Linked DNA regions of Alligator mississippiensis. The main gene of each other region encodes a partner of the protein of the gene in region 4 in a complex. Links are inferred from orthologs where the notes say so. Each region holds a gene or a part of one and is shown on either strand. Other genes may lie near its edges.

Evidence for each region.
Region 1: SNRPE (region 4) and PRPF6 share a complex: the UniProt entries of both Homo sapiens proteins name them as parts of the U4/U6-U5 tri-snRNP complex. The link is inferred for Alligator mississippiensis from reciprocal best matches to the Homo sapiens genes SNRPE and PRPF6.
Region 2: SNRPE (region 4) and GEMIN5 share a complex: the UniProt entries of both Homo sapiens proteins name them as parts of the SMN-Sm complex. The link is inferred for Alligator mississippiensis from reciprocal best matches to the Homo sapiens genes SNRPE and GEMIN5.
Region 3: SNRPE (region 4) and SNRNP200 share a complex: the UniProt entries of both Homo sapiens proteins name them as parts of the U4/U6-U5 tri-snRNP complex. The link is inferred for Alligator mississippiensis from reciprocal best matches to the Homo sapiens genes SNRPE and SNRNP200.

The regions. Positions count from the first base shown.
Region 1 is NC_081832.1:2,897,664-2,905,658, forward strand, and holds the start of PRPF6 (pre-mRNA-processing factor 6), read left to right. Parts: upstream 1-4,989; 5' UTR 4,990-4,996; coding exon 4,997-5,166; intron 5,167-5,465; coding exon 5,466-5,634; intron 5,635-7,707; coding exon 7,708-7,826; intron 7,827-7,995. UniProt on the Homo sapiens protein: Involved in pre-mRNA splicing as component of the U4/U6-U5 tri-snRNP complex, one of the building blocks of the spliceosome.
Region 2 is NC_081832.1:77,080,952-77,088,718, reverse strand, and holds the start of GEMIN5 (gem-associated protein 5), read left to right. Parts: upstream 1-4,750; 5' UTR 4,751-4,786; coding exon 4,787-4,931; intron 4,932-6,752; coding exon 6,753-6,907; intron 6,908-7,395; coding exon 7,396-7,577; intron 7,578-7,767. Other genes in the region: MRPL22 (large ribosomal subunit protein uL22m), read right to left, coding at 603-738, 4,486-4,531, 4,616-4,661. UniProt on the Homo sapiens protein: The SMN complex catalyzes the assembly of small nuclear ribonucleoproteins (snRNPs), the building blocks of the spliceosome, and thereby plays an important role in the splicing of cellular pre-mRNAs.
Region 3 is NC_081830.1:10,327,391-10,334,487, forward strand, and holds the start of SNRNP200 (U5 small nuclear ribonucleoprotein 200 kDa helicase), read left to right. Parts: upstream 1-4,087; 5' UTR 4,088-4,178; coding exon 4,179-4,223; intron 4,224-7,097. Other genes in the region: STARD7 (stAR-related lipid transfer protein 7, mitochondrial), read right to left, coding at 3,195-3,457. UniProt on the Homo sapiens protein: Catalyzes the ATP-dependent unwinding of U4/U6 RNA duplices, an essential step in the assembly of a catalytically active spliceosome. Plays a role in pre-mRNA splicing as a core component of precatalytic, catalytic and postcatalytic spliceosomal complexes.
Region 4 is NC_081837.1:39,630,443-39,637,308, reverse strand, and holds the start of SNRPE (small nuclear ribonucleoprotein E), read right to left. Parts: upstream 3,011-6,866; 5' UTR 2,956-3,010; coding exon 2,902-2,955; intron 2,479-2,901; coding exon 2,452-2,478; intron 1,358-2,451; coding exon 1,295-1,357; intron 1,027-1,294; coding exon 948-1,026; intron 80-947; coding exon 24-79; 3' UTR 1-23. Other genes in the region: RRP12-like protein, read right to left, coding at 3,896-3,988, 4,305-4,384, 5,236-5,291, 6,129-6,205, 6,579-6,736. UniProt on the Homo sapiens protein: Plays a role in pre-mRNA splicing as a core component of the spliceosomal U1, U2, U4 and U5 small nuclear ribonucleoproteins (snRNPs), the building blocks of the spliceosome.

The DNA.
Region 1 (7,995 bases), on a different chromosome or scaffold from region 4:
TATCTGGACAGGCCCTAAAGTCCGAACAGTCAGTAGCATATATGCTTAGGTCTAAGGGGTCACTGCCATGCCTGGCTTACAAGGTGGAAACTGCAACAGGGATTTTTACCATGTGGTGTTACAAGGCAGGAGTGGTTAAAATGGTTCAGGGACTGGGGCACATGACTTGTGAGAAGAGGCTGAGGAAAGTGGGCTGATTTAGTCTGCAGAAGAGAAGACCGAGGGGGATTGAATAGCAGCCTCCACCACTCTGCAGGGGGGCTGCAAAGAGGATGGAGCCGGGCTGTTCTCAGTGGGGGCAGACGACAGGACAAAGAGCAATGGGCTCAGGCTGCAGCAAGGGACGTTGAGGTTGGATATTAGGAAAAACTCCCTCACTAGGAGGGTGGTGAAGCACTGAAATGGGTTATCCAGAGCAGCGGTGCAGTCTCCATCCTTCATGGTTTTAAGACCCGGGTAGACAAAGTCTTGGCTGGGATGATGTAGTTGGAGCTGGTCCTGCTTGGAGCAGGGGGTTGGACTGGATGTGACCTCCTGAGCTCCCTCCCCACCCTCATTTTCTATGAGTCTATGATTCATCCCCTGGTTTCACCAAAACTGGCCTCTTAGAGCCATTGGACTCCATAGCACATGACCTCTTCTCCTGGCCACCCCGCTTTGCCTCCAAGAAACCTTCTGGTCCAAGATAATTTTCCCTGTGGTCCTGATTCATTGTGGCAGAAGCTGTAGCCTAGGGAGACTCGGATTATTGCAAGGGGCGTATATCCTTAAATGAAGCCTTCGCCATCTGTTCCGACTTTTAATTGCAAATGCGAAAGGAATAGAATCCAGTTGCTAATTAATCAGCGAAAAGATCTAAGCCATTGACATGCATGCACACGCCTTTTGTTCAGCACAGCATGAATCTATCAGGATTTTCCTGTTTATTAGACACAAATTAGGAGGAAAATTGCCATTACTGATGGGCCAGGCCCTCAGCTGGTGAAAACTGCCCTGGCTGAATGTTCTTCGGGGAGCTATGGTGATTTGGACCGTTTCCAGCCCCGGCCTGGTCCCGAGTACTTCATTTCAGTGGTTGTTATTCTCATGGGACCAAGCACGCTGCACTGTAGGAGGCTGTTATTGCATTTCTCAGGGGTCTCACTCCCTTTTATATGTTTGATACAGCCCTTTGGAAGCTAAAAGTTTGGGATACGCCAAAGGAGGCAATTGCTTGGCCATGAAACGGCAGGAAAGAGCTGTAGTTTAGAGCTGGATGGCCTCGTGTGCAGTTAGTGCATAGAAAAGGGTCCACCCAAAGTCTTTGCTGGATGGCTGAGGGGGTGAAAGTGCATGTGCTGAGCCCCTGTGTAGGACTATGTGGTCCAGAGGCAGTTTCCACTGGGCATCTTGCTCTACTATGGACTGATTGTGCAGCAGTCTCTATTTAATGCCTTGTGTCATCAGGGAGCATCTGGGAAGCAACCCCAACTGGGCAACATGAACCAACGTGGGTCGGCCATAGGCCATTCTTGATGGGGTGTGACATTAGGGGCATTCCCGAAACACTGTGACCAGAATTACCACGTGCTCCCGAGCTCTCAGCAGGGCCAGGGTACACTGATGTTGAAGAAGTCCTTGTTGGTAGGTGCTTTCTGGCTACTACACATCCAGTCCTGCTATGCTAGCCCGGTGGGATAGCTTGCATGCATTTAATTTTACAGGATCACATATGCATGCTGCAAAAGCAAAATAACTGGGTGTGGGAGGGACGCATATTAAGAGGCCTGTGTCATGTGAAGTCCAGGCAGCAGGGGATGAGTTGGAGCCAGAAGAAAAACTGTTGATCTGCCAGTGGGGACAGATCAATCAATCAAAGCCCACCTTCCCTTGCCCACAGGCATCTGCTCTAGATTTAGTAGAGAAATGAAAAGATCCAGTGTATTCAAGCAGGCATTAGGCGCGGAGTCCCAAGCACCAGAGAAGATGTAGTAGGCCATAGCCAACTGTATTGCCCAAAAGAGCCACTTTGGATGTCTTCTAGGAGACTGTATCTGTGCACGCTTTATTGCTTTGCTGCCCCACAGCAGCAGGGGTTAACAAAGCCCTGAGCACAGTGCAAATAATAACTGCTAACAGTGACAGCGATGACAGTGATTACAGCCTGGACCCGAGGAAGACCGAGCCTGCCGGGGTCCTGAAAAGAGAGCGCTGTCTCATTAGGCGTGACACTCTCAACCCGATCGGCATTCAGGCAGCATCTCCAGCGGCGTCACTCTTCTCCACACAGTCCTTCAACCCTTGATCAGCGATTCAGCTTCAACCCTTGATCAGGACCCCCTTCATCAATTATTCACTGTCCTGCTTTCCATCAGGGGGGTAGCAGAGCCAATGTCGGGGCTGGAGGGGGTGGAAGCGGGGACGGACTATGGCAAGGCTTGGTTTGTAGGGGTTCACGGCCTTTATCCCCATCCCTTCCAATCACCCCTTTTTGCACATTATCCCTTCCAGTTCCTCTCCCCCTTCCTTTACATTCAATGCACGGAGACAACAACAAACCCTCCAGCGCAATGCAAAATTGACTGTTCTACAATTTGGGGCTTGCTTGGAATGGGGGGAGGTCAGGTCACGCTTATTCTAGCATCCTCAAAGTCAGCTGCGATGTTTAGTTCCCCCCATTTCTCCTACCCCAGATATAACCATCACCAGAAAATCCTACACAGATAGCAGCATACCAGTTCCAAACCCTCTTCAAACAAGAATAGATGCCTAAAATTGCTCTCTGGCAGTACAATAGCAGTAATTTTCATGGCACTGAAGCATGCTTGCAATAAATGGTGTTTGCTGTTGATTAAATGCCGTCGCTCCGCTTCAGCATTTAATCAAGTACAAGCTCAGCTTATTGCTTTGCATACTCCACCGCCATGGATATTATCCCTTAAATAAGCAATACAGCAAAATACAGCCACGTAGATTAAATTTAACTTCATAGAGAGAGCTAAGATATGAAATTGATTTTCTTGTAAAGGCCTGATGAGAAAGTAGTGCACTTGAGGTACAAAACTAGGCTGTGATCATTAGGGTGAGGAGTGTATCGAATTTTACTCAAGTTCTGAAGACTTTTTTTTTCCCCCTGTGAGTTTTGAATGAGTTCTGGGAAGTTGTAAAGCCTGCTGAGGCTGCATTGGCTCTCAAGCATTAAGGCAGACTCGGTCTGAATTCCACGCATGGACATTCAAAAAAGAACCGATCTGAGTCTCTTTTTTTCCCTGTCTTCAATTATGCACCTGAGAGGTGATTATTTAATGAGGGGCAAGTTAATGTGCTAAGTACTCCACCTGGTGGTATATACAAAACCGGAACCAAGCAGATTTCATGGGGGAAAGCCTCTCTGCTTCTCAGGAGGTACTGAAAAATCTCTGATAGCGGGCAGTGGTCACTTTAGACCTACGTGGTGTCTTGTGGAGACCCATCCACCAGCAGCTGGAACTCCAGTGATATTTCCAGCAGAGCTGATGTCCAGTTTGGCTCTGCTGCTGTCACTCAGGCGAGGATTGCTTTAGGAACGCACCATTTTTTAAAGAAGCTGGGCTAAGCATCAAGCAAACCAGGGTGGATTTAGTGGCATGCATTGAACACGTAAAGTGCATGGGTGATGTGAGCACAGGGGTTACCCTGCTGCACCGTGATGCAGAAGCAAATGCCCTGTGATTACAAGTTGGTTGTAATCGTGTTCGTCTAAGGACGAAGGGCGGTTGTGCCCAAAAGCTTGCAAAGAACAATTTCCCCAACTATTTAGTTGGCCTAATACAAAAAATGTCACATCTACTCAAAGAACCTCGTCCGCCCGTGATGACGATGAAGCTTTCCCCACCGACCTCTGAACAACGTGCGTGCCTCCCGAGCTCTGATGGAGTGAGACTCCTCAGCTGGGTTTCAAAGGGGTTTCCTTGAAGGAGGGTCAAACCCTCTGTGTAGCTGAACTCCCCTTCTTATGAGGTCCTCCTGGACTTTGCAAACTCTGTGTTAATAAGGCCCTTCATCCCCATGAGAGAGACCCCCTCAAAGCCAGTCGGCAAATGAAGCCGCATCTCCCAACAAGTAGCACAGATCTGTGTGCCGCAGCGCTCATGATGCTAAAAGACTCCTGGGCTTTGTCTGTGCATGGGCTGCCAATGCTGCTTCTACCCCTGAGACCTGAAACATTGGTAGCAAGCCTGGGAGGGATTTCCCTATATTAATACAAGCACGGCCTCTGTCCTTGGTCCTAGGTAGACCTTCCCCGCAGCATGGCTCCATCGCCGTGCATTGCAGGCCTTGGGGATGAATGGTGCAACCCAGGCTGGGGGCCTATTCGACGGGCCAAAGGGAATCGTGGGCCAATGAAATTATAAGTCTTAATAAGGGAGGTCACAACCGATTCCTTGGGACAAATAACCAACAGGGCCAAGCGGGAGGTCACAGGTTGCTATCAAGGGAGCCAGAAGGCGACACAAAGCAGAGCACCCCGAGCAGCACCCGTACGCACCGAGGGCTGGAGGGATGCCGTGCACGCAGCATTATCAAATCTCATGATTTTTGGCGTGGCTTGTAAAAGTTTACGCGTCAGGAACATGCAACAGCGTAGCTCCTTCATATCCATTTATATTGCTAATACTTATATAAAAGAAAGAGCTGCGGTGACGCGTGAACTTTTACGACAACTTTAATCACAAAAGTTGGCAATGTTGCGGAGCCTGACCTCTGCCATGTGGTGTGTAATGCACATGCATGTTACATGCAGTGCGTTGCAAGGGGCATGCCTGCAGTGGGGGGGGGGATGCTTGTTTGCAGCAGCAAGCAGCAGGCACCTGCAAGCAGCCTGAGCCAGGCGCGCATGCGCACACTCCACTCACAGCCAACCCCCTCCAACATTCCATCCCCCCTCCCCTCTGCTTGCGCCCCTCGGCCCGGAAGCCCGTAGGCGGGACTTCCGGCCGCGGTGCCTGCCTGGGTAGCACCGCCTCCGCTTCCCAAAATGGCCGCCGCGGCCGCTTCCTCTTCCTCTTCCTCCTCAGGCGCGGGCGGCTCCAGCTCGGCCGCTCCCTCGGGCTTAGCCGCCGCCATCACGGGCACCATGAACAAGAAAAAGAAGCCGTTCCTGGGCATGCCCGCGCCGCTGGGCTACGTGCCGGGCCTGGGCCGCGGGTGAGCCCTCCCCCCACCCCTCCCCGGGCCTGGGCGAGGCGAGGGGGGGCTGCGGCGCCTCTCAGCGCCCGTCGGGCCTGGTCCCGCGCGTTTAGAGGCACCAAACCTTGTGAGGGAAGCCGGGCAGTAAAAGCTCGGCTTCCTTGCTCCACCATGGTGTCCCTTGAAGGGGGGGAGCTGCTCCTGCACAGTGTGTTTCAGCAGTGGGGTGCTGCACTTGTGAACGGCTGGATTGTTTTGTTCCTCGCCTTCGTATTATCGCTGCAGACTAAATCCTAGCTGCTGGTCTCTCCGTTTAGCGCTACGGGCTTCACCACCCGTTCGGATATCGGCCCGGCGCGTGATGCCAACGACCCGGTGGACGATCGCCATGCGCCGCCGGGGAAGAGGACCGTCGGGGACCAGATGAAGAAAAACCAGACGGCAGACGACGATGACGAAGATCTGAACGACACCAATTATGATGAGGTGATGCTTCTCCTGTCTGACGGGGGGGGGAAATGTAATACCTCTCTCCCTGCCTCCCCCCTCATCCCAAAAACACCACACAAAATCATCCCGACGCCCTGTGCCGTGCTATGTGAGGGAACAACGGCAGAGCCAGTTCGCAGCACCCCTTGCCACGAGTTGCGTGCGTGTGTCATGCCGCAGCGCGTATGGGCGTGTTTTTCCGTGGTGATATTTGCACGTTGCGGTCGGGCTGTTTGTACTGAGCCCAGGGGGTTTGGGGAGGGATGTTGAAATACAATATCAAGGTGAGTGCTTTGTGGACCGTTCCTCTGATGCTTCTCCAGAAACGAAGTCGAAACAGCTGCTTTTTACCCCATCGTTGAGATGATCCGGTCCCAATAAAAACTTGCGTTTAACTCAGTAAAATTGACTCGTACTGAGATACAGCGTTGTTTGTTTTGCATTTGTTTTCAATAGTTAAACATTTCTGCTAATGAAACGTTTATGCAATTATCACTTACCGAGAGGTTTTTGCTGATGAAATTCACTACTATGATAGGCTGCTTTAAGGCTATTTTAGTTGCATTTCATAGACGTTGGGGCTGGAAGGGACCTCGAAAGATGGTCGAGTCCAGCCCCCTGGCCCAGAGGCAGGAGGTCAGCTGGGGTCAAAGGATCCCAGCAAGATAGACATCCAAATGTCTCTTAAAGGAGTCCGGAGTAGGCGCTTGCACGACTGCTGGCGGCAGTCTGTTTCAGGCCTTGGGGACTCGGACAGTAAAGAAGTTCCTTCCTTGTGTTCAGCCTGAAATGGTTTTGGAGGAGTTTGTGACCGTTTGACCTTGTCATCCCTTGGGGCGCTCTGGTGAACAGACGTTCCCCCAGATCCTGGTGTTACACCCCTTATAAACTTATAGGCAGCCACCAGGTCCCCCTTGAGCCTGCGCTTTTCCAGGCTGAAGAGCCCCAGGGCTCTCAGCCTGTCATCATAAGGCCTGTTTTCCTGCCCTCCGATCATGCGCATGGCTCTCCTCTGGACTCTTTCAGACCTCTCCACATCCTTTTTAAATTGTGGAGCCTGGAATTGGATGCAGTACTCCAGCTGCGGCCTCACCAAGGCCAAGTACAACAGGAGGATGACATCCCAGGATTTGCTTGAGAAGCATCTATGGATGCAAGCCAGAGTTTTGCTCACTTTACCAGCTGTGACATCGCACTGGTGGCTCATATTCATCTTGTGGTCGGTCAATCCTGACCCCCAAGTCCCTTTCAGCTGCGGTGCTAGCAGGTGTAACACTGCCGAGCCTATAAGCGCGATGCGGGTTTTTTTGCCCGAGGTGGAGTACCTTGCATTTTTCAGTGTTGAATGCCATCAGGTTTTCATCCACTCATTTTCTGAGCCTGCCCAGGTCAGCCTGGATCGCCCTCCTGTCCTCGGGTATAGACGCTTTACCCCAAAGTTTAGCATTATCGGCAAACTTGGCCAGTCCGCTTCTGATACTAATGTCCACATCATTAGTAAAGATGTTAAACAGTATAGGCCCAAGGACTGAGCCTTGGGGGACTCCACTGGTCACGGTGCACCACAGTGATTGACTTTTATTGACTACCACCCTTGGGACTGGTGAAAAACTGACGCAAAATACCTATTAAGCAGGTTGGCTTTTTCCTGGGCATTGGTTGTCAGTTGTCCCATATGGTTTAGCAGGGGTCCAGTGTTACCCTTGCTTTTCCTCCAGGTCCCCACATATCTAAAAATGGACTTTTTATTGTCTTTGATACATGTAGCCAGTTGGAGTTCAGTCGCAGCCTTGGCTTTCCTGGTTTGCACCCTACAGGTCCAGACCAGTGCAGAATACTCCTTTGAGGTGGATCTAGTCTTCCATCCTTTATAGGTCTTTCTTTTTAGATGCAGGAGGTCTACAAGTCCCTGCAGAGCCAAGGGGGCTGATGTGCTGTGCCCTTTTGCTGCCTTTTTACTGTTAAAATTGTCTCTGAGGGGTTTTCTTTCTCTTGAATGACTGTATTGGCTTTGCTAGATGTGTAACTGAACTTTGAAACTAAAATGTTTTGGCCCTTTAAAATTTTCAGTTTAATGGCTATGCTGGGAGCCTGTTCTCAAGTGGTCCTTATGAGAAAGATGATGAGGAAGCGGATGCTATTTATGCAGCATTGGATAAGAGGATGGACGAAAGGAGAAAAGAGAGAAGGTAGGCTTAATTATGGAACTTCAACAAGGCAGTGTTTTGTAGTTATGGTATAAATCTAGGAATCAGTTCTTCTGGCTTCTCTGTTGTTGTGCTGCCTTGCTCTGTTACCAGGGCAACATTTTCAAAAGTCACTACTGAATCAGTGTGAGAGAACTTTCTGCTTCAAAAG
Region 2 (7,767 bases), on a different chromosome or scaffold from region 4:
AAGCGCCTTTCGACATCCATTTTCTCTAGTTTCTCATACAATATCAATTGACCCACATTTGTTGCTAATGTTTAACTACACTTTCAGCTCAGGTGACTGAAAGGAAGGAGAGAGAATAGTCTATGATCTGAATTCGCTGCACAAAAGAGGAGCATTTTTCATTGTGCATTTGATTCTGCACTGGACAGAACTAAATCAGATTTTTAAAAATTCTCTTAACTAGATACTAGAAGGATTGAATAGAAAGGAAGCAATTAAAGAAATGCTCAGATTCTTTTCCTCAGTCAAGTCCAAGCTTAGTAGTTGTTATTCAGCCTGGCAAACACTGAAAACATTTAAATTGTAGATTTGTATTTGCACAACACGTGCACATTAAATGATCATATCAGGCAGCAATTTGAAAATCGAATAGGTCGTTCCCATTTCTAAAATCTAATACTGCACATTTCTTTTGTTATACAGTTATGAACATACCAAGTATCTCAATCTTACATTAATCACTGTATATAGCTATCGTAAGCGAGTGTCCCGGAGAATTAACCAGAAAAGGACAGTGCTTTATTTGATGTATTTAAGAAATTATAGTACAGGCAAATTCTTACTGCTGGTCTTCGAGGCTCTCCTGGCAACTGTGGAGGATAAACAACTCTATTCTTCTTCTCCCATTTTCCAATGACCTCTTGAGATGATCTTGTATGCATATTTGACAGTGGGAAAATATTTACAGATGCCAGGAACCTGCAAAACAAATTACACATTCTTTGTATACAGGTTAAAACCAATTTTTATTAAATAAATGAAATGGAAGAGTTCATAACAAACTCAAGCTTGTTTTGGTAAAGTAACATGTACCTCCCTATTAACTTGCAAAATGAGGTCTAAGAAATCCCTTTACACCAAGAATGTTTCTTATACATATGAATAATATGGGGCTCATTTAAGTGAGTGACAGGTTACACTCAGATGCGTACATCCTCCATAGGTATGCCACAGCTAAGTACAGGCAGTCCTCAACTAACAACACTTCAAGTTGTGACATTTTGCACTTGCAACGTTTCTAAATTGATACCCATTTCAACTTTATGACATCAGTTTCAACTTTACAACACTTAATCCGATGCGACGCCACGCCAGCAAACAAGTTCGCTGTGTCGCTCATCTCCCTGGAGAATATCTGTCCAAACTTCATTGGACACTTTCTTTAAGAAAGCAGACAAGACTCCAGAAAAACCTGCATCCAGGACTCCTAAGAAGACTCCAGCCAAGAACCCTTCAAAAAGTCCAACCAAGAGGCTTTCAAAAAGTCCAGCAATATCACCTCAAAGTCCTTCCAAATCAATACAATCACTATTTACAATATAAATGTATTAATGTAGCTATATTACTCATCTATAATTGATCGAGTACAAACTTCTGGAGTATTTTTGGTGAAAATAGGGCATCGGGCCTTGGTTCAGAAACCAATCCCCCATTTATAACATTGTTTCCTATGGGGAAATCAGTTCTGAGTTACAACCTTCCAACTTAAGATGAGGTTTTCAGGAACCGATTGTGTCATAAGTCTGAGGACTGCCTGTACCTATGAGTTCTGGTTCGCAGTAGAGTCATAGAAGTAGGGTCAGAAGTGACCTTATAGATCATCAGGTCCGACCCCTGCCCTGGGCAGGAGAGAAAACCGGGCTCAAATGACCCCGGCCAGGTAGACGTCAAGTCTCCTCCTAAAGACCCCCAGGGTAAGAGCCATCACCACTTCCCTTGGAAGTTGGTTCCAGATCCTAGTCACACTGACTGTGAAGTAACGCCTCTTGATGTCTAGTCTAAACTTACTCTCTAACAACTCGTGGCCATTATTTCTTGTAACCCCGGGGGGCGCTAGGGGGAACAAGGTCTCTCCCAAACCCTGCTGGTGCCCCCTAGTGAGTTTATAGATAGCCACCAGGTCCCCCCTCAACCTTCTCTTGCAAAGGCTGAACAGGTTCAGGTCCTGTATCCTCTCTTCGTAGGGTCTGCCCTGCTGTCCCCGGATCACGCAGGTGGCCCTCCTCTGGACCTCTCCATGCTGTCCACATCCCTCCTGAAGTGCGGCGCCCAGAACTGGACGCAGTACTCCAACTGCGGCCTGACCAGTGTCACAGAGGGGGAGGATCATCTCCTTGGACCTGCTCAAGATGCATCTGTGGATGCTCAACAAGGTGAGGTTAGCCCTACTGATCGAGACCTCGCATTGTCGGCCCATGTTCACCTTGGAGTCAATAATGACTCCAAGATCTCTTTCTGCCACCGTGCTCTCGAGAACGGAGTTTCCAAGCTTATAAAAGTGTGCTGCTGGTTCCCACTGGCCAAGTGCAGCACCCTGCACTTGTCTGTATTGAAACCCATCCTATTTTCGTTAGCCCACCCCTGTAACCTATCCAGGTCCTGCTGTAATCTGTCATAGATTCATAGATGTTAGGGTCGGAAGGGTCCTCAATAGATCATCGAGTCCGACCCCCTGCATAGGCAGGAAAGAGTGCTGGGTCTAGATGACCCCAGCTAGATGCATATCCAATCTCCTCTTGAAGACCCCCAGGGTAGGGGAGAGCACCATCTCCCTTGGGAGCCCGTTCCAGACCTTGGCCACTCCAACTGTGAAGAAGTTCTTCCTAATGTCCAACCTAAACCTGCTCTCTGCTAGCTTGTGGCCATTATTTCTTGTAACCCGAGGGGCGCCTTGGTGAATAAAACCTCACCAATTCCCTTCTGTGCCCCCGTGATGAACTTATAGGCAGCCACAAGGTCGCCTCTCAACCTTCTCTTGCAGGGGCTGAAGAGGTCCAGGTGCCCCAGTCTCTCCTCGCAGGGCTTGGTCTGCAGGCCCTTAACCATACGAGTGGCCCTTCTCTGGACCCTCTCCAGGTTATCCATATCCCTCTTGAAGTGCGGCGCCCAGAATTGCACGCAGTACTCCAACTGCGGTCTGACCAGCGCCCGATAGAGGGGAAGTATCACCTCCTTGGATCTGTTCGTCATGCATCTGCTGATGCACGATAAAGTGCCATTGGCTTTTCTGATGGCTTCGTCACACTGCCGACTCATGTTCATCTTGGAGTCCACTAGGACTCCACGATCCCTTTCCACTTCCGTGCCACCCAGCAGGTCATTCCCTAGGGGACATGTCCCATGTCCTTCGCTACTAGCATGCCCACCCCAAATCTTGGTATCATCAGCAAATTTAAATAGGCTGCTTTTCACCCCATTGTCCAAGTCACTAATAAAGAAACTGAACAGCGCAGGCCCAGAATAGCTATTACACACCATTCTCGATTTTCTGGCTCTTTATCCATTGGTTTTTCGTTACATAACAATGGTCCTCACAAAAACGAACCCCCAGCCTATCAAAGTCTGAAGTTGGTTGATACTTACCCACTTGTTGGTTATTTGACCGTTAACTTCAGATTACAGTACTGATTTTTACCTTTGCCAATGGCAAAATATAAAACAAAGCCTAATTTTTTTAAGTTATGGGTCACAGACAGAAGTATGTTTCCTTTACAATGAAAGCTACTCCCCCAACTACTTTTAAATGGTTAAGCCAATTTTGATCTGATAATTAACAAGAAGAAATGAAAGACTAAGGTGTTGCGTAGATAGAGAAAAATCCCAGATTTCTACAACTTTCAAACATTCCCCAACCGGAGAAGACAAAAGCTGTTTATTTGAGATATAGATATCTATAGATAGATAGATATAGATATACCTCTCTCTCTCTCTCTCTCTCTCTCTCTCTCTCTATATATATATATATATATATATATATATATATATATATGATGCCCTCTGCTGGCCAAATACTGAGGTGATAAGTGGGCAGCCAAACCTGTTGATTTTTGTGAATGAAATCAATAAGTGAAGCCAGGAGCAAACCATTTAAGCCAACTCTTTTCTTGCATGGCATATTACTTTTCTGAGTCAACTTTAAAGAGGTTTTAATCGATACTCTTAAGTCAAATAGTATGTAGACTTCTGGATACTAGAAAACTGTTAGAAATTCAAATTACTGTCACATCACATTTTGGTTAGAAATACCCAGTATCTATGCAAAGAGTTGTAAATGAGAACAACATCAGTCACCATAAAACTACATCAATTCCTAAAACTGAAATAGGAAAAAAAAAAAAAAACCCATTCACGCCTCTGCTTGAAGGCCAGATTCAGGCCAAGGACACTCGCTTTGTTGAAGCAATGGGAAAACGCACGTTAGAAGCCATCAGCCGGTCCCATCTCCCTCAAACCAGGTTTTAAGAGAGCAATTGAATTCAAGATATTTCACACCTGCTTTGACAACAGCCTTTTCCAAGCCACTATTTCCACCGCAGGTTTTTTTAAACACGTTTCTTGCCTCGTAACTCACGTGTCATAGTTTGCATTCGGCTTCAACATCGAAATGCAGCCGCTCCCCTCTCCCACACTGAGGGCACACAAGATGGGGAGCGGGGATAGACTCACCTCTCCGGCCAGGCCCCGAGGAGCATCCGCCGCGCCCAAGCGAGGCCTGCACGAATAGAAAAACGAAACACAACCCTACATGAGCCTCAAAACCACCACCCAGCGTCTTCCCCAACCTCCCCTCACTCACCCGCCATGGCCGCCGCCATTGTGGCCGCCTCGCTTTGACCGCGCATGCGCGGAACCCAGCGCATGCGCAGAGTGGCACCCGCGCATGCGCCGAACCAACGGCGGGGAGGTCAAAGGTCGTTTTGCGACCCTTGACAGCAGCGCCGGGCAACGGCAGAGCCGCGGGCACGCGATGGCGGCGGAGCGGCTCCTGCCCGCCTCGCCCAACTGGTACCTCAGCCGCTGCAGCGACGCGAGCGCCGGCGCGCGGCTCTTCGGCTTCGCGGCCCGGAACAGCGTCTACCTGCTGCGGGTCGGCGCCCAGCCCGCCTTCCACGGTACCAACCCCGCGATCCCGGCCCCGGGGCAGCACGAGGGAGCATCCTGCCCCGCAACAGGCGCTGCTTCCCCCCCGCCACGTGTTAAGCCTCCATCAGAGGCCCCAGGGGCGCGTTTATACCCGTAACCGTAAAAAAAACCCAAACCTTTAAATACCATTTTAAAGCCGTCAGTCTTACACACGTGCCCGTTAAAGCGTCGCGTGAGGGGACGTGCCGACGCGCCGCTGAGGAGCAAAACAGGCCGCGCAGCATCGAGCCTGGCTCAAAAAAAAAGCAGTGTTTTTGCTACCGCGTGTTCGGGCAGCCTCGTGTGCGTGTGCTTTATTTAGCACGTGGGCGTTTGAGCTAAAGCTCGTTCAGCCGTCTTTAGATACAGCGTCCCCGCTGCCATTTTGAACCAAAGGGGATGCTGATGCACAAGATGCTCCGGGAGCTTTATTTAGAGCCCCTCTAATTAAAGCGTTTCCCCCCCCCCCCCCCCCCGACGGTGGGGGGCACGTGTATAAACGCTCCGAGGTTCTAAGTTTAATGCGCATTAGGAAAGACGGACTAATGCATGTGTAGACACGCCCTCGGTGTTGGCCGCAGCCCAGGCTGGGGATCTGTGGCCGTGCTCCTGCTGGGACTCGACCCGGAGGGTCCTGGCTAGCGGATCCTTTCCCTCCACTCGGTGTCAGACCAGTGCTGCGTTGGGGGCAGGGAGGAATCCCCCCCCCCCCCCCCAGTCAGATTGGTATGAACTATGCAGGATTTTGCTTTCCCCTGTAGTCGGCCTTTACCTGAGATCTTTTAACCATGTGTTAACAGCCTTTTATAGGAGCAGGACGTTGGCTGCTTTCCCTGTGGCAGGTTCAGGTGTGATGTCCATGTTGTGTCCGGGTCGATGGTAGTTTCACTAAGAGGTTAGATAGGTGGGGAACGGTTTGGATAGAGCCGATCCTGCCTCGAGCAGGGGTTGGACTAGATGTGACCCCTAGAGCTCCCTTGCAGCCCCACGGCTCTAGGATGCTGTGCGCTGCGATTCACAGATTAACCGCGGAGATGGCAGATGGGAATCCGTCGTGTTAAAAGCGTCCTGCCCTGCTCTGCGCTTCTGCGGTTCCTTGGAACAAAAGAATCGCCCCGTTGTTTTTCAGGAGTCGAAAAGCAAATGAAAGCCAAGAGCTGGCATTTTCTAACAGAGTCTTTGAGCCTAACAAGGGGTCTGAGAACCGCTGATCCAGAGTGGTCTACCCTGTTATACCCTCCCTCGCATGCACCATCCTCTGTTAATTCAGCAAGTACCTTGTGAGAAGCACATGAAAAAGGAAGGTTCAAGGGTGTCAACGGTGGCATCCCTGACTTTTCTGTTTCATAGCTATTAATGGATCTCATGCATGAAATTGTCCTGTCCCTTTTCACCCTGGCTGAACTATCTGCCTCTACAATGTCCTGTGGCAGGGAGTTCCACTAATTAACTGTCCACTGCATAAGAAAGCATTTTCTCTTATTAGTTTTTTGCCTGTCTCCTGCTCATTTCAGTGGCTGTCCCCTTATTTTAGTATTCCGGGAGTTGGTGAATAACTGTTTCCTATTCATTTTGTCCACACTTTTGTTTTCTGTGGAGTGTGGGACATGCAGGGATGAGTGTGTGATTCTCCTGCTTCCAGCCACTTTTACCCCAGTTGTTTGTTAGTGGATGTTGCAATGCATAATATTGAATCTTTTGTATCGGGTAGTTTGTAGAAAGAGTACTCGTTCAGAGATGGGGAAAGGACAGCAGTTTCTCACCAAGAATTCGGTCTGTGAATGTTTCCTCTTTTTGTATTTCAAACCTAGGAGAGCTCATCGGTCATACAGAAAGGGTTTCTGGATTTACCTTTTGTCATTTCCCTGATCAGACCAACCTCTGCGCGAGCAGCTCAGATGATGGAACCGTGAAAATCTGGGATACTCAGACTCTGTCTCTTGTAACTGAGCATACGCTCCATCAGGTATAGTAGCCAATAACCAGGTCCGTGTGGCTGTAGGAAAACCACTAGAACAAGCGTTTTCCCAAAGCTTTTATTAGCTAAACAGGGGGCAGAAATACATGCTGGGACCAAATAAGAAGATCCATGTAGGGATCTACACCAGTTTCATTAAACTAATTTTAAAATCCATGTCAGTTAAATCAGTGAAGGTTTTCTGTTTGTTGGTTGGTTGGTTTGGGAAAAAACATTTAGTGTGGAGGACATCCTGGTAAGCAATTGTGTGTGGATCCCTTTGCAATCTTAATTTCCTGGCAGATCTTTGACAGCTACAGCAGTGACTTTCCCGATCTTGCTCCGTATGTAAACATTAATGCCTTTAGTTATCTTAACCGAGGATAAAACTCCTACCACTTTAGCTGCCTCATTTAGTATTGTTTCACGGTTCATCTCTGCCTAATATGGGGCTAGAGACAAGACTTTGTCATGCCCTGGTTAATCTGCATTTTCAGAATACAATCTCAGCCTTGCATTGGTCACCCCTTGTGAAAGATCTGGTTGTGTCTGGTGATGAGAGAGGCATCATCGTTTGTTATTGGCATAACAGAAATGACAGCCAACAGTTCTTCCCTGAGCCTAGGACCATCTTCTGCCTCACGTGTTCCCCTCACCAGGAGAATCTGGTAGCTATTGGGTAAGTGTTAATTATGTTGCTCCCTTTTCTTATGCTGCAAGGTAGATGGTGTGTGTGTGTTTTCATTGCAGCATAATTTTAAGGCTATTCTTTCAGAAATGGTGGTGGTGGTTTAGGAATTTGGCTAGTTCTCGTTGGCTAGAGTGGCAGGAGGGAAAAAGAAGAACCTAAATGAACAACCTACTTATCG
Region 3 (7,097 bases), on a different chromosome or scaffold from region 4:
GCTGCACACCGACCCATTCAGACACAGCTGCTGCTGGGAGCCGCTCCCCAAGGCCTTTGACATGGAGGGGAGGTGGCAGCCACAAGCCCCGCCAGGCAACACAGCCCACATGAAGCTGGAGACAGCAGCAACAGGTGAGGGTTTTCCCAGCCCACTGCATCCATGGGCAAACTGGGGGGAGGAGAGTAGATTAGCTATGGGTACTAGTCCTCCTCCCTCCTGCCTGCCATGTAACCTTACTGCTTAGGTTAGCTGGTAATGCATTACTGGTAAACACACTTCTCATTTAAATGTTTAACCTTTCACATCCTGAGTTCCAACTCTAGCTAGAGATATGAACTTGGGCCTTGGAGTCACCGTCAGCCAAGCTCCAAAAGGCCAGATTTTGGTTCATGAATCTGAAAAAGACATACTTTTAATTGTAATGACTCCAGGGATAACGAGGCAACATCTCTGGATTATGTTTTGGCCAAGTCTGCTGTGGCTTTTATATGAAACAACAAAGGAATGCATATTTTACTCAAGTCACCTTTGGTTTTGCTTTGATTGTAAACTGAATCACATTGTGCCAAGCCCTGGGTACATTAGCAAAGCTTCTAGCTTTCTTGTTATCAGGTGGAAAACAGCTGTTGTGTTTTATGTGTTGACAAGGCATCGCACCACTTGCACCCCCTTTTCAAAACTCTGCATCTGCCCAGGGTGGACCATCAAGACCATTCATAGTTTCATTGCTGGTAGGGTCAGAAAGGACCTGAGCAGATCATCCAGTCCAACCCCCTGCCATGGGCAGGAAAAAGTACTGGGGTCAAACGATCCTAGCAAGGTGTTCGTCTAACCTTCTCTTAAAGACCCCCAGGGTAGGAGCCAGCACCACTTTGATTGGAAGTTGGTTCCAGGTCCAAGCCTCCATGACTGTAAAGTAGCGCCTCCTGATGTCTAGTCTGAATCTACACTCTGCCAGCTTGTGACCAGTATTTCTAGTCACTCCTGGGAGTGCTTGGGGGACCAGAGACTCCCCCAATACCTGCTGGTCCCCTCTGACTAGTTTGTAAATGGCCACTAGATCCCCCCTCAGCCTTCTCTTGTGGAGGCTGAACAGGTTCAGGTCCCTCAGCCTCTTCTCGTAGGGCCTGCCCTGCTGCCCCCTGATCATACGGGTGGCCCTCCTCTGGACCCTCTCCATATTGTCCACATCCCTTCTGAAGTGCGGCGCCCAGAACTGGATGCAGTACTCCAACTGCGGCCTGACCAGTGCCACATAGAGGGGGAGGATCACCTCCTTGAACCTGCTTGAGATGCATGTGTGGATGCATGGCAAGGTGTGGTTGGCCTTCCTGACCGTGTCTCCACACTGTCGGCCCATGTTCATTTTGGAATCAATAACGACTCCAAGATCTTTTTCTGCCTCTGCACTGACAAGAAGGGAGTTCCCCAGCCTGTAGGTATGCTGCTGGTTCTCCCTCCCCAGGTGCAGCACCCTGCACTTGTCAAGTGTTGAAACCCATCCTGTTCTCATCCGCCCACCCCTGTAACCTGTCTAGGTCCAATTGCAGCCTATTCCTCCCTACTAGCGTGCCCACATCCCCCCACACTTTAGCATCATCAGCAAATTTGAACAGGGTGCTTTTCACCCGCTCGTCCAAGTCACTGATGAAGATGTTGAACAGCACGGGTCTGAGGACCAAGCCCTGGGGGACCCCACTGCCCACATCCCTCCAGGTCAAAAATGACCCGTCTACCACCACTCTCTGGGTGTGACCCTCCAGCCAGTTAGTGACCCATTTGACTGTGTAGGTGTCGACACCACAGTCCTTTGGTTTTTTAATGACAATGGGGTGAGAGACGGTGTCAAAGGCCTTCCTAAATTCCAGAAAGACTACATCCACCGCAACACCTGCATCTAAGGATTTTGTGACCTGGTCATATAAGGCCACCAGGTTGGTCTGACAGGACCTGCCTCTAATGAACCCGTGTTGGTTGCCCCTAAACCTAATCTCCCCTGCTGGCCCCTAGTGGGCATGCACCAGGATAACTCTCTCAAAAAGCTTACCCAGGATCGAGGTAAGACTAACTGGCCTATAGTTTCCTGGGTCCTCCTTCCCCCTTTTTTTGAAAATGGGAACCACATTGGCCCTTTTCCAGTCCTCTGGCATCACACCAGAGCACCACGAGTGCTCGTAAAGCCGTGCCAGGGGTCCTGCAATGACCTCTGCTAATTCCCTCAGCGCTCTGGGGTGGAGGTCGTCAGGACCTGCTGATTTATACAAATCCAGCCCCTCCAGAAGTTCCCTGACTAGATCCTCTCTGACCCTAGGCCTGGGTGCACCTCCCCCCGAGGCCTGAGGGGGTCCTGGCAGATGGGCTGACTTGGTCCCTACTCAGGAAAATGGAGGCAAAGAAATCGTTAAATAGGTTAGCCTTGTCGTCTGGTGTGATGACCAGATTTCCTAGCGTGTCTTGCAGAGGCCCCATGTCACCCAGTACCTTCTTTTTGCCCCCTATGTATTTAAAAAAGGACTTCTTGTTGTCCTTGATCCGGGTCGCTAGTCCCAGCTCCATCTCCGCTTTGGCCTTCCTGACCGCCCCCCTGCAGCCCCGAGAAACCGAGGTATAGTCCTCCCTGGTGACGGCCCCTCCCTTCCATTGGGTGTACACTTTCTTTCTAGCTACGAGACGTTCCCAGATGCTTTTGGCGAGCCATGGGGGAGAAACAGTCACGTGGGTGGAGCAGAGAGATCAGGACGAATCAGGGCGATAATAAGGAGCCAGGAAATCAGTCAACTCCCTCAGCGCCACCTGGAGAGTAATGCCGCTGCCAGGACACAGGGTTAAAGCAGGAGTGCTCAGCTCCCGGCCCACAGGCTGGATGCCGCCAACGGACGCCAGCAGGACCCAATATTTGAGGGGGGGGGGGCGGCAGTGGCAACCACTTGTTCCTTCTCTGCTGTCAAAAAAGGGTTGGGAGAGAAAGGAAGGGGAGAGCATGGCATTGTGCACTGGACTGAGCACCTGGGCCCTGATGCTAGCGCCCCAATCCCAGCAATGTGGGGGCCTAATCCCGGCGCACGGACCAGGCCCGATCCTAGCACGTGGACTGGCCCCGATCCTGGCGGCACGGGGGCCCCAGTGGCTCAGTCCGCGGACAAGGGCGCGGCGTCAGGGTCGATGCTGGCGCCATGGGGACCCGCACCCACCTCCGCAGCTCCTCCTCCTGGATCCGCCGCTCCTCCCACACGAAAACGCCAGCCAGCGCGGCCAGCAGGCGGCGGGCGCCGTGTCCGGGGCGGCCCTGACCGCGGCGCCACAGCCCGGGCGTTAGGTCGCGTCGGGCCCTGGCCCTCGAGGCGGCGGGCGGGCCCGGGCTGGGCCGCAGGCGGCGGGGGGCCCAAACGGCCAGGAAGCGGCGGGGCAGCAGCTGCAGCGCGGCCACGGCTGGGCCCCAGTAGCGCGCCCACATCCCTCCGATGCGCAGCGTACGGCCCCTCCGCGCGCCGGCCCCGCTCTTGCTCCTGCGGCGCCGGGCAGGCCGCGCCCCCAATCCCAGGCCCGCCCCCGCTGGGAGACCATTGGAAAGCGGCTGGGAGCAACCCTCCGGGTCCCGCCCCTGCCGGGCTCTGATTGGATTGCGTCTACTTGTGCTGTCCCCGCCGGGAGGTCAGTTGAGCGACTCGCCGGTGATAGGCTGCACCTCTACCACTTCTGCGGGTCCCGTTCCCGCTGGGCGCTGATTGGAAGGTGACTGGCTGCTGGCTAAACTGCGCCGCCAATAGTCCTCCGAGCCCTGTCCCCGCCGGACGCTGATTGGAGCGCAGTGCCGCCGTCGTAGCTGTCAACAGGCTAGGCTGCGCGCGGTCGCCTAAGAGCGCCTTACAGGCAGGAAAGACCGCGGTCTTCGCTCCACCCCCCGAGGGGTGCCCTGCGTAGTGCCTGCCGCTACACAACACCCCTGAGAGCCGGGTCCCCTTTGCCTACGCTGAAAGCAAACAAACTACACCGGGGTCCTTCCGCTGCCCACCGCCCGAGGCTACATCCAGGTCTCAGCCCTGCAGAGGAGGGAGGGAGTGCTTCCGGGACACGCGGAAACACACCGGAAGTCCTTCCCCGGAAGTGCTTGGTGGCGCGGTGGTGCGTATTGCTAGGCCGCGGGCTTGTGAGGCGGCGGCGCCTGAGGAGCTGCCATGGCGGACGTGACCGCACGGAGCCTGCAGTACGAGTACAAAGCGGTGAGTCCCGTGGGGTGCTGGAGGCCGTTGCCAGGATCGGGGCCGGTCGCGCCAGGCCTCGTGCTGCCGGGATCGGGGCTCGTCCAGGGGCTGGGGCACGGGGCGGGGCGGGCTGTGTGTTTCCACCCGTTGCTCTGAGGCCTCCGTCGCACGGTGCCGACATCATGCAGCTTGGGGAAAACTGCCCCTGCCGTCCTCCTCTCACCCGAGTCGCAGAGCAGCGGGGCTGACGGGAACCTCAGTCCGTCCAGAAGGTGTGGTCCAGCCCCGCCTGCGGCAGGCACCGCCTGTTCAAACCACCCCAGACAGATTCGTCTTCTAAACTCAACCTAAGGCCAACACCGGCCCTGAAACAACCCAGACCTAACACCTCACCCTGCCACAGAGGAAACAGGAACCAGAGCAGCCAAGGTCCTGCTGCTGTAACCCTTAACATTGTTAATATTCCCCCCAGTGCCCCACCTGCTCCAGAGGAAGGCAGCCCCTGCGCCCCTCCCCAACCAGTCCTTACCAGTCTGACAGGGGAGGGGGGGAATTCCTTCCTAACCTCACTGCAGCGCCATCAGTCTGACTCTGAGTGAAGGGTCAAGACCTGGGTTTGAGTCCCAGCAGCGTTGGCATAGCCCAGTCACCATCCCCAGCCTGGGCTGCAGCCAACTTCTCTGAGGGAATCTTAAAGCCCCCCTGATTTCTGTAGCAGAAAGTGAGGGGCATCCAGCACAGCCTAGGAAATCCTCGTAGGAGAGCACAGGCATCACTATGCCAAGATCATCCTCGCCCTGTGGCTATATGAATTCTCCTTCAACTCCTCCAGCAATGGGGAGCCCGCACCTCCCCTAAGCACAGGCATCGCTACACCTAGATCATCCCCAACCAGTGACTGTCCTCCCTCTCCTGAAACTCCTCCAGTGATGGAGAGTCCACAGCTCCCCTGGGCAGTCTGCAAACAATCCACCTTTGGAGCAGATGACAGATACAGGGGTGACTGTGGAGGGAAATTTGGAGTGCGGGAGAGATTCACTGCTCACTGAACTAATGCACTGTGTTGCAGCTCCCTCACTTTCTGGTGCAAGTGTGTTTGAGTAGCTGTGGCACCTGCTGCACATTAGATAGTGCAGAGGTCTCTTGCTCTCAAGCTACTTGTGCTGAAGTCAAATAGGGAGGGAACAGCTTCTCTGAGGCTAAACTCCTACGCTGCAACTGTAACTCCAAGCAAAGCTTTTCCATTAATGCCCTTCAGGTATTAGAAGGGGTCCTCCAGGAAGGTAAGAGCCAGGGTGGATTGATTTAAATCAAAGCAATTTAAATCACCAAGAGAAAACTCTATCAAGTTTCCCAGTGATACTTCTTCACATATTTCTTAAACAATGGGACAAATTTGATCACTAAAACATGTCAATTTACAAATCAGTACAGCATTTTACAACATCTGTCCTTAAACTCTCTCTCTTAATTTTCACATTTTATTAACTCTAACAGACAAGTCATCACAACACTAAATGTATGCTGTCCTTAAAACTTCTACAGCTAGGTCTCATCTTCCCCACTCCCACTGCCATTTTTATTCATAGACTGAAACCGAAATACAAGTGTTCCTGCTTTTTCAACTCCCAGTTGACTTCTTAGCTTCTTTGAGTGAATAATACCAAACAATGAAAATATCCTCTCTATGCCTGCGGAGGAAACTACTGCTGTGAAAAGTTGGCTTAGCAACTGAAGGAACTCTATCTCAAGGTGCCTGGCTAATGATTTCCACCAATTCAGGGGAGTGACTTTGTTCAAAACATCATCAGTAAACCATGTACTATTTAAATGGTTCCCCCCCAGCCCTGAAATTTATTATGACTGGCATAACTGAGGAGTGATTTTGAGATGCCCATGCCAAGGCAGCAGCATCTTCAAAAGTTAGGCATCTACCTTTATATCTGGGGTTGAGAATGTTGGCAAGAACATGAGGTGGAGTTGGTGCTTGATCCATTTGCTTCTTTACTGCCTTCAGTTTAACTTTCTGGTTAGGTATTTCTTTTTTTAATGTCTCTTGAAGTGCCTTCCAAATTTCAACAGCATCAGCAATGCAGCAACAACCTCTCTGAAGTTTGTTTAAGGCTATGGATGTAGGCTTCAGTATATTGAGCATATCCTCTACATTCCTCCTTAATCCAATGTAAACAGATCAGTTCTTAATACATTGTTCAACACAATGAACCACAGAATTCCATTGAACATCTTGAGAGAGAGTGAGTTTGGATCCTCCTGCTCTCTTCAGTGAAGCTGAAGCCAAATGCTTGGTACAGAAGTACTTTATGACTTCAACAACATTTTCTTTTATTTCTGAAGAAGTACTTAAGTCTTTGGCTAAAAGATGCATTAAATGGACACTGTAGCCGTATGTTATTAAGGAGCATCCTTCCGTTTCTTCTTCTAAGTATCTTCTCATTTTTGCCAACTTTGCAGCATTATCACTGACAACTGTGCATGTGACAGTTGAATTTTTGTTCACAGTTTATTACAGCTTTCACTGCCACTTCTTTTAAATGTTCTGCTGTGTGGGCATTTCCCAATGTATCTATTGTTTCTGAAACATATGCAGCCTGTTGAGGGATCACCACATAAGGACGTGGCCTTTGACATCCTGATGACATTCACCTGTCTGTGGTTGTCAGGAATGCCTTGACTAGCTAGTCAGACTCTAGTCTCCACCTAATTCTCGCCTGCCATGACTTGATGGAATGTTCTTTTGGGAGGTGATGTTGTTTTCACGAGTTTGATTATAGTGCAAGGTGCCCTCCAAGTGGGGCTCCAACCTCCCCTTTCACCCCAGCCGTACACCTACCAGTTCTTACCATGGTATCGGGTATAATCCAGAATATGTGC
Region 4 (6,866 bases):
AATGTCCCAATTTATGACAAATTCTAGTTAGAAACACTCTGCAGAAGAGTAATATTGTCCCCTTTTAACATGATCCGACCTGCAAGACAGAGAGAGAAGGTGGTCAGGAGTGGCATGGCCTGAGAACAAGGATACCTGGAAAAGCATTTCACAGAGGAGACTAACAGCAGAAAATTTTGCAGAACAAAGTCCACAAAACAAGTACCTCGTCTTTCTACTGACTGGCAAAACAACAGGCTACGGTTCAGATTGCAAAGGTTTCTGTTACAGCAAACTGAGCTAATATACAGGTGTACTACTACTGCATGCTTCACAGGGCTCCATGCCTGTAAGTCTGTGGTACTCATCTCTCTGCAGTATACGATCTAAAGGTACAATTCACTGTATCGGTGCACATGAACACCATCTGCAGCTAGTACATCAATTTCCTCCTGTATAACGGAGTGTGCTGCAATAAAAGGCACCCCAGCTACCCCTGCACACCCCCGATTCATTGTTTACCTTTGGCACCTGGCAAGCAGTGAATATCAACTACAAGCAAACAGCGAGAGTCATGGTTCCGTGCCCTGACTCTGGAAACGCACACTTGAAAGAGTAAGACAGAGAGCTGGAGGGTCTCAGGACTGAGATAAATGTGGCAGAGATCAGATTGGGTTTCTCTGGCCATCCTAGTAACAAAGAGGAGGCAGAGAAGCACAAGATATTTACCTGCCTCTTTAAGGTTTTAGACTAGTTTCTGGACTTCTTGTGCATATCTAATGGGATACCTATCAGATCTCTGACCCCAGCACTGTTATTCTATAGCAAACAGCAAAAACAAGCATCTTCACAGCAGCCTTTGCTGGACTTCAGCCCAAGCTTCTAATATGTCTGCATTTAAATTGCTGCCCCACACAAGGCTTATCTGGACAGGTTTGGGGCCCATCATTTAAACCATGTAAACGTACCCAGCTGTTTCCTTGACTTTGTTTTGGAGTGAATCTCCTCAGCATCATCCAGCACTAGGTTCATGTATTCATCAAAACCCTAAAAACCAGCAACAAAATCAGTTAGTCGCCTAACTCCCCTGGTGTTAAATCCAACTCCCCTGCCCTTACTGAGGGCAGAACCAACTGCAATCGCCTTCTCTTACAGAAGCACAGACTTATTAAGTGGAAATGGCTGAGGCCGCTGCTTCAGACAGTGCTGAGCACTGCCTTTAGGACTAGTATCTGTCTCTGTTTACATTTGGGAGCTGCAAACAGAACTTGCAAGTTCAGAAAAGCAAGAGACTCAAGAACATCCTGGCACTTACAATGATGCATCCTTCTATTCGCATGTTCACCTGCTCATAAAGCCACACCTGGATCCTGGACCGCTGTAAAATGAGAAGCAAAAAGAGACAGTAGAGTGAGTGTCAGCACATGTATTCCAAGTGATTTTCTGTTACCCGTTGCTGTCCACTCAAAATCTACCTTTGCCCCTGGCCAAACTGGCTTTTAAATAGTATCCATCACTCCATAATAGCAGGCATGTCACACTGTGTTTTACAAAAGGGGCGGGGGAAGGTATCCCCAGCTACCAAACACTTCTAAGCACATAGAGAAATGAGTCTTAAGAAGCACCCATGTGCATCACTGCACCCTTGCCTTCAAGATGGTATCCTTAGGAAATAATAACACTGCTTAACGTAACAGCAAAGCGTTGATTTCAGAACCCAAGTTCATTGTGGGGCAGGAAGTCCACCACCTCTGGAACAGTTCTGCTTAGCTAAAGGCAAGTTTTTTCTCAAGTGATGAAAACTCATGTGTGGGCCCCCACGTGTTTCAGAATATCTGCAATAATCTTGCAGAAGCAAAATCAAATCCTGGGGGGTCATCGCAAGGAAGCTTTTGGTGATGAGGATACACGTTAGTGATGATCAGACGCTGCACAGGCAGATGTGTTGCCATCCCTTCTATCAACACAGCACAAAGAAGCCGACCTAGGCCAGGACCCATTTCCTTCTATCGGGGAGGGGGGGATCAGGGTCCAATCCCCTACAGCTGCAGGCCCACCTGAAGGGAAGCACTGGGGTGGGGGGGATGCCTTGCACTCCACACCCCACCTGCAAAGGCTCCTAACAGAGCAGCCACCTCCAGGGCTGCCGCAAGGACAGTTCACAGCACAGCAGAGATACAAGCTGAAGACCCCGAGTCCAGACACGTGCTGAAAAGGCCCTGGGACAAGCTGCTCCCAGGGACCCCAGTCCCAGCTGGCCCTTGAGCTTTCCACTTTCAGCCTAGTACAAGCAGGCTCTGCCCCTGCCCCATGGCCCCGGGCAGCCCATAGGCTCCTTCTCCAGTGCCTCTCTCCAGGGCCCCGCTCCAGACATGAAGCAGCAACACCGCCCACACTACTACCAGCAGCTCCAGGCCAACTTGCCCCTCCCGGCCCCCCGAAGCCGCGCGCGGGGCCAGAACCGTCACTTACGTTCTGCAGGTAGCGGAAAATCAGGTTCTATTGCAGGCAGTTAAGGAACAGCGCGGAGACAGCGTGGGCCGACCTGAGCTGGGGAAGGCATGGGTAGACACCACCCCCAGCCAGGCAACACCCCCCCCACAGGTTCCCCGCCCATTGCCAAGCAACACCCCCACAAAAACCAGGCAAGCACATCTCCCCAGGAACCCCGCCCTGTTGTCAGGCAACCACATACCCCGGGATTACACCCCGCTCCCGTTGCCAGGCAACCCCCCACATCTCCTCCATTGCCAGGCAACCCCCCCCAGAATTTCCCCCTCTATTGCCGGGCAGCCACATCCCCCAGAATTGCCCCCCCCGTTGCTAGGCAACCCCCCAGGAATCCTCCCCTCCGTTGCCAGGCCACAGCGCCCCCCCCGGAGTGTCGTCCCCCCGCTGCGGCCCCGCGCCCCTGGAGGATACGATGGGCTGCACCATCACCTTCTGCACCTTCTGGCCCTGCCCGCGGTACGCCATGGCTGCGCACGAATCAGCCCCGCTGCACGCGCCCCCTGCCGCCGGAAACCCCGCAGCATGCCGGGAAGCCGGAAGCGACGCGCTTTGGCGGGAAGAGCGGGGAGTTCCGGGCGGACGCTCTAGACCGCGGGAGGACTCCCGCTCTACTGCCCTGCCCTGCCCACCCTTCCATCATTGCAGCGCCTGGTGAATGCTGCCATAAATGCAGCCCAGCCCAGACTGTGCCAAGCAATGCTCGCACCGTGCCAACCGCACAGCTCACACTGGTCCGCACTGGGGGTTGCTTTCCTCTGCCGCAGGTGCACAGCCTCTGCTCTGGTGGATCCCTGCCGCCCTGGCAGCAGCGGGTCATGGGTGGCCGCGGCCCTGCTTTCCTGGGGCAGGGCCGGGGGTGCCTGGGGCTGTGTCGTGTGGCGCGGAGGTCAGACACGGGGTTTGTTTGGGCTGGTTTGGACGGGGCTAATCCTGCGTCTGGCAGGGCTGGGACTGGATGTGACCCTGCCGGTCCCAGCCAGCCCCACGGCTCTGCGATGCTACGATCCGCTACCCCGGACAAGGCCTGGTTCACCTGCCTGCCCTCAGGCCCAGGCACAGATTGAGGAAGAGAAAATTAAAAGCAGCCCATCTGGGACTGCACCCTTTGCTGGGTGATCCCAGGGTAAAGACCATCAGGATCCCCTGGACATACAGCATGTCCTGGCCGTTTCTCTGGTCTCCGATCCAGGGGCTGGGGCACCAGAAGGACGAGGAACAATCGATCGGTCCGGGGGGAATCGTATTTATTGCTCCCCGCTCTGTGGGCTCTGCACACCTACACCCGCTCGCACAAACACCCATGCACACGCCACCCCCGGCGGCACTGAGCAGAGATCGAGGCCGGGGCCACCACGCGCAGGGCTTGCACATCTGGTGGGGGGGCAGGGGGCCAGCAGGACTCACTTCACGAGTGAGGCGGTGTCTGCGCCCAGCCTGGATGCCGTGCTGGGCTCCCTTCATCAGCCCCTTGAAGTGTCCCTGCTTCTTCGCCTTCTCCCTGCGGGAAAAAGATGAGGCGCAGGTCAGGGCAATCTATGGAAGCCCCTTGTTATTCTCACCCAGCAAGGGGTGCTGGGGGGTGATGGGGCAGGAGTTGGCTGTGGGAGCAGTTCCCAGCATAGGGTTGGGGCTGGGGAGGGTCAAGGGAGCTCCCTGATGCTCTGGACCCTGCAATGAGGCAGAGCCAGGTCACAAGAACAGCTCAAGGATCCAGGGAAGCTAGGACCCAACCCAGCTTTTGCCATGGCCCCCGACTCCCCCTCCCACAGCCATGGGCAAGGCCACCCCCCCCCTGGCAAGCATCGGTGCCGTACCTCCTGTTGAGCGTGGCGCTGTGGAGGGCGAAGTAGGCGTAGGGGTCCAGCTGACTGGCCTTCACGTCGTCTCTGCCTTTCTGCAGGACACACAGGACAGTGGAGACAGATGTATGTGGCCTGGGGCAGCTGGCAGCCTGCCTGGCAGGGGACAGTGCCCCCTTCCCCTGAACCCCGGGACCAACACTGCTGCAGTGGTGTGGGCTCGAGGCAGGGGGTGGAGGGGCAGCGGGCCTGGGGGACACAGCCCCATGGCATCTCCCAGGTTTTTAAGCCTCCCCAGAGGTGCTGGGTGCAGGCTGCAGCCAAGCCTGGGGATGGGGACTGGGATGTGCCAGTGCTCCTGCTGGTACCAGCCCTGCAGGGTCCTGGCTACAGGGTCTTGCCCCTCTGCTCAGTCTCAGACCGATGCTGCACTGGGGGTAGGAAGAGATTTCCTGCAGTCAGATTGATCTGAGCTGGGGGTTTTGCCTTCCTCTGCAGCGGGGGCACAGCTTCTGCCTGGGGTCTCTGGAGCACCCAAGAACCCCCCTGGCAGCAGCAGGTCATTGGTGTCCGCAGCCCCCCTGCTTTCACGGGGTCAGGGGCAGGGGTGATGCCTGGGGTTGTGTCTGGGTGACTGTCGTGTGGCTCAGCAGTCGGACATGAGGTTTGTCTGGGCTGGTTTGGACAGGGCTGGTCTTGCCTCTGGTAAGGCTGAGACTGAATGTGACCCTGTGGGTCCTGGCCAGCCCCACGGCTCTGGGACTACAACAGCCCCACACATGTTGCAGCGCCAGGCTGGGCCCCTGAATGTCTGGGCTCTGGGCAACTGCCTCCTGCTGCACCCGGGGCTCCAGGGCAGGGCACAGAGGGCACCACAGCACAGGGGTTGCCTGAGTTGGCGCCCTACCTTGCTGCCCTGGAGGCAGGTGCCATAGGGGCCCCTTACCTTGGGCGTGTAGTCCTCCTTGTGTCCTGGCGGCAGATGGATACTGGAGCCTCCTACTGCAACACAAGACCCAGGGCAGGTTAGGTAGGGCCCAGACACCAGGGGGGTGGGTAGGGAGCATGTCACATCTCAGCAAAGGACAGGGTCCTGCCTGGACAGAGCGGGCTGGGCTCAGCCCTGAGTAGGGTGGCCTGGGGCCCGGGGGCCTCATTATCCCCCAAGCAATACTCAGGATGGGGCAGAGCATGCGAGCCATGTGCCAGGGGCTGCCCCGGTGACTGCGACAGCTGGCAGCCAAGAGCTCACACTGCCCCGGGCACAGAAAGGTATATGTTCTTTGTCACGTGCTTGAAATTGTAAACTGCTGCAATCAATAAATGTTCTCACAGAATGGACTGATCTTGTTCAAGCTTTTGTTAAATCATTGTTACTACCTGGAGTCTAGTGTTAAGTCTGGTAACAAAACGGTGAAGGGTTAACAGGGCCAGTGTCTCCCATGGGGCATGAGACCCCAAAGCTCCCCATTCTCTTCTGCCAGTGGGACCGGAGCCAGGCCCAGGCCCCCCAGCCTCTACCCTCCTCTGGGTCTTGGAGGCGCCTCGTGGCGCTGGTTGCAGGCGACCGCCTGGCACAGAACGCACTGCCTCCACCCGTGGGCCTCAGCCACACGGACGTTCAGCACGCAGCACATTGTAGCACACGGCCGGCAGCAGCACCTGCACCAGCTCGAAGCTCTGGGGAGATGGGGGTCAGCTAGGAAAGCCCACCCCCCGCCAGGGACACCATGCTTGCCACAGCTACGGGTCAGACGCAGCTTCCCCCACCCCCAGAGTGCCCCAAGGGCCCAAGCTGGATTCAGCCATGCTGCACCTCCCTGCCAATCCCCTACTCACCAATGGTTGCGAATGAACTTCAGCTTCGCACGGAAGTGATGCTTCATGATACCCGGCAGGCCCTGCAAAGCCTCCAGCTGCCAGGACAGGGATCGTCACCCTGCCATCCCAACACTCACTACCTCTCCAGGCCCCATACCCTGTCGCCCCCATCACCCCCACACCCCATTGCTCCCTGCCCACCACACAAGGTGCCCCACACCCTCTGCAGATGGAGCTGATCTCCCCCAGTATCACCATTCCCCCACCCTGGACCCTGCATTGGTGCTGCCCCCACCCCACAGCAGGGCAATTCAGCCCTCACCCCCTGCTTGGCAGTGGCTGAGTGGGGTACGTGCAAGCCTAGGATGTGCTGCAAGCCAGGGCAGTCCAGCTTCTGAGTTGGGAAGGGAGCCCTCCCCCTGCCTCCCACTGCAGGAGCCCAGCTCTGTCCCCACAGGCCAGACTTACCACGGCAGGGATATGTGGGGCCAACAACCTGTCATCCAAGAGCAGCAGCGCGGCCCGGAGGAAGCCGAGCACAGCCTTGACCACGCGGCGGGTGCGGAAACCCAGCAGCAGGCAGACGCTGCGCAGCAGGTGCTCCATCTCATCCGGGCCCAGGTGCTCTGTGGGGCAGGCAGTGCCGCTGAGGTCTGCGCCCACCCAGGGGACCCTACCCCCCTGTGCAGGCCAGGCCCACACCCAGCTGGGGCTGGTGAGCAGGATGGAGCCCTTCTTGCTGGCAGAGGGGGTCTG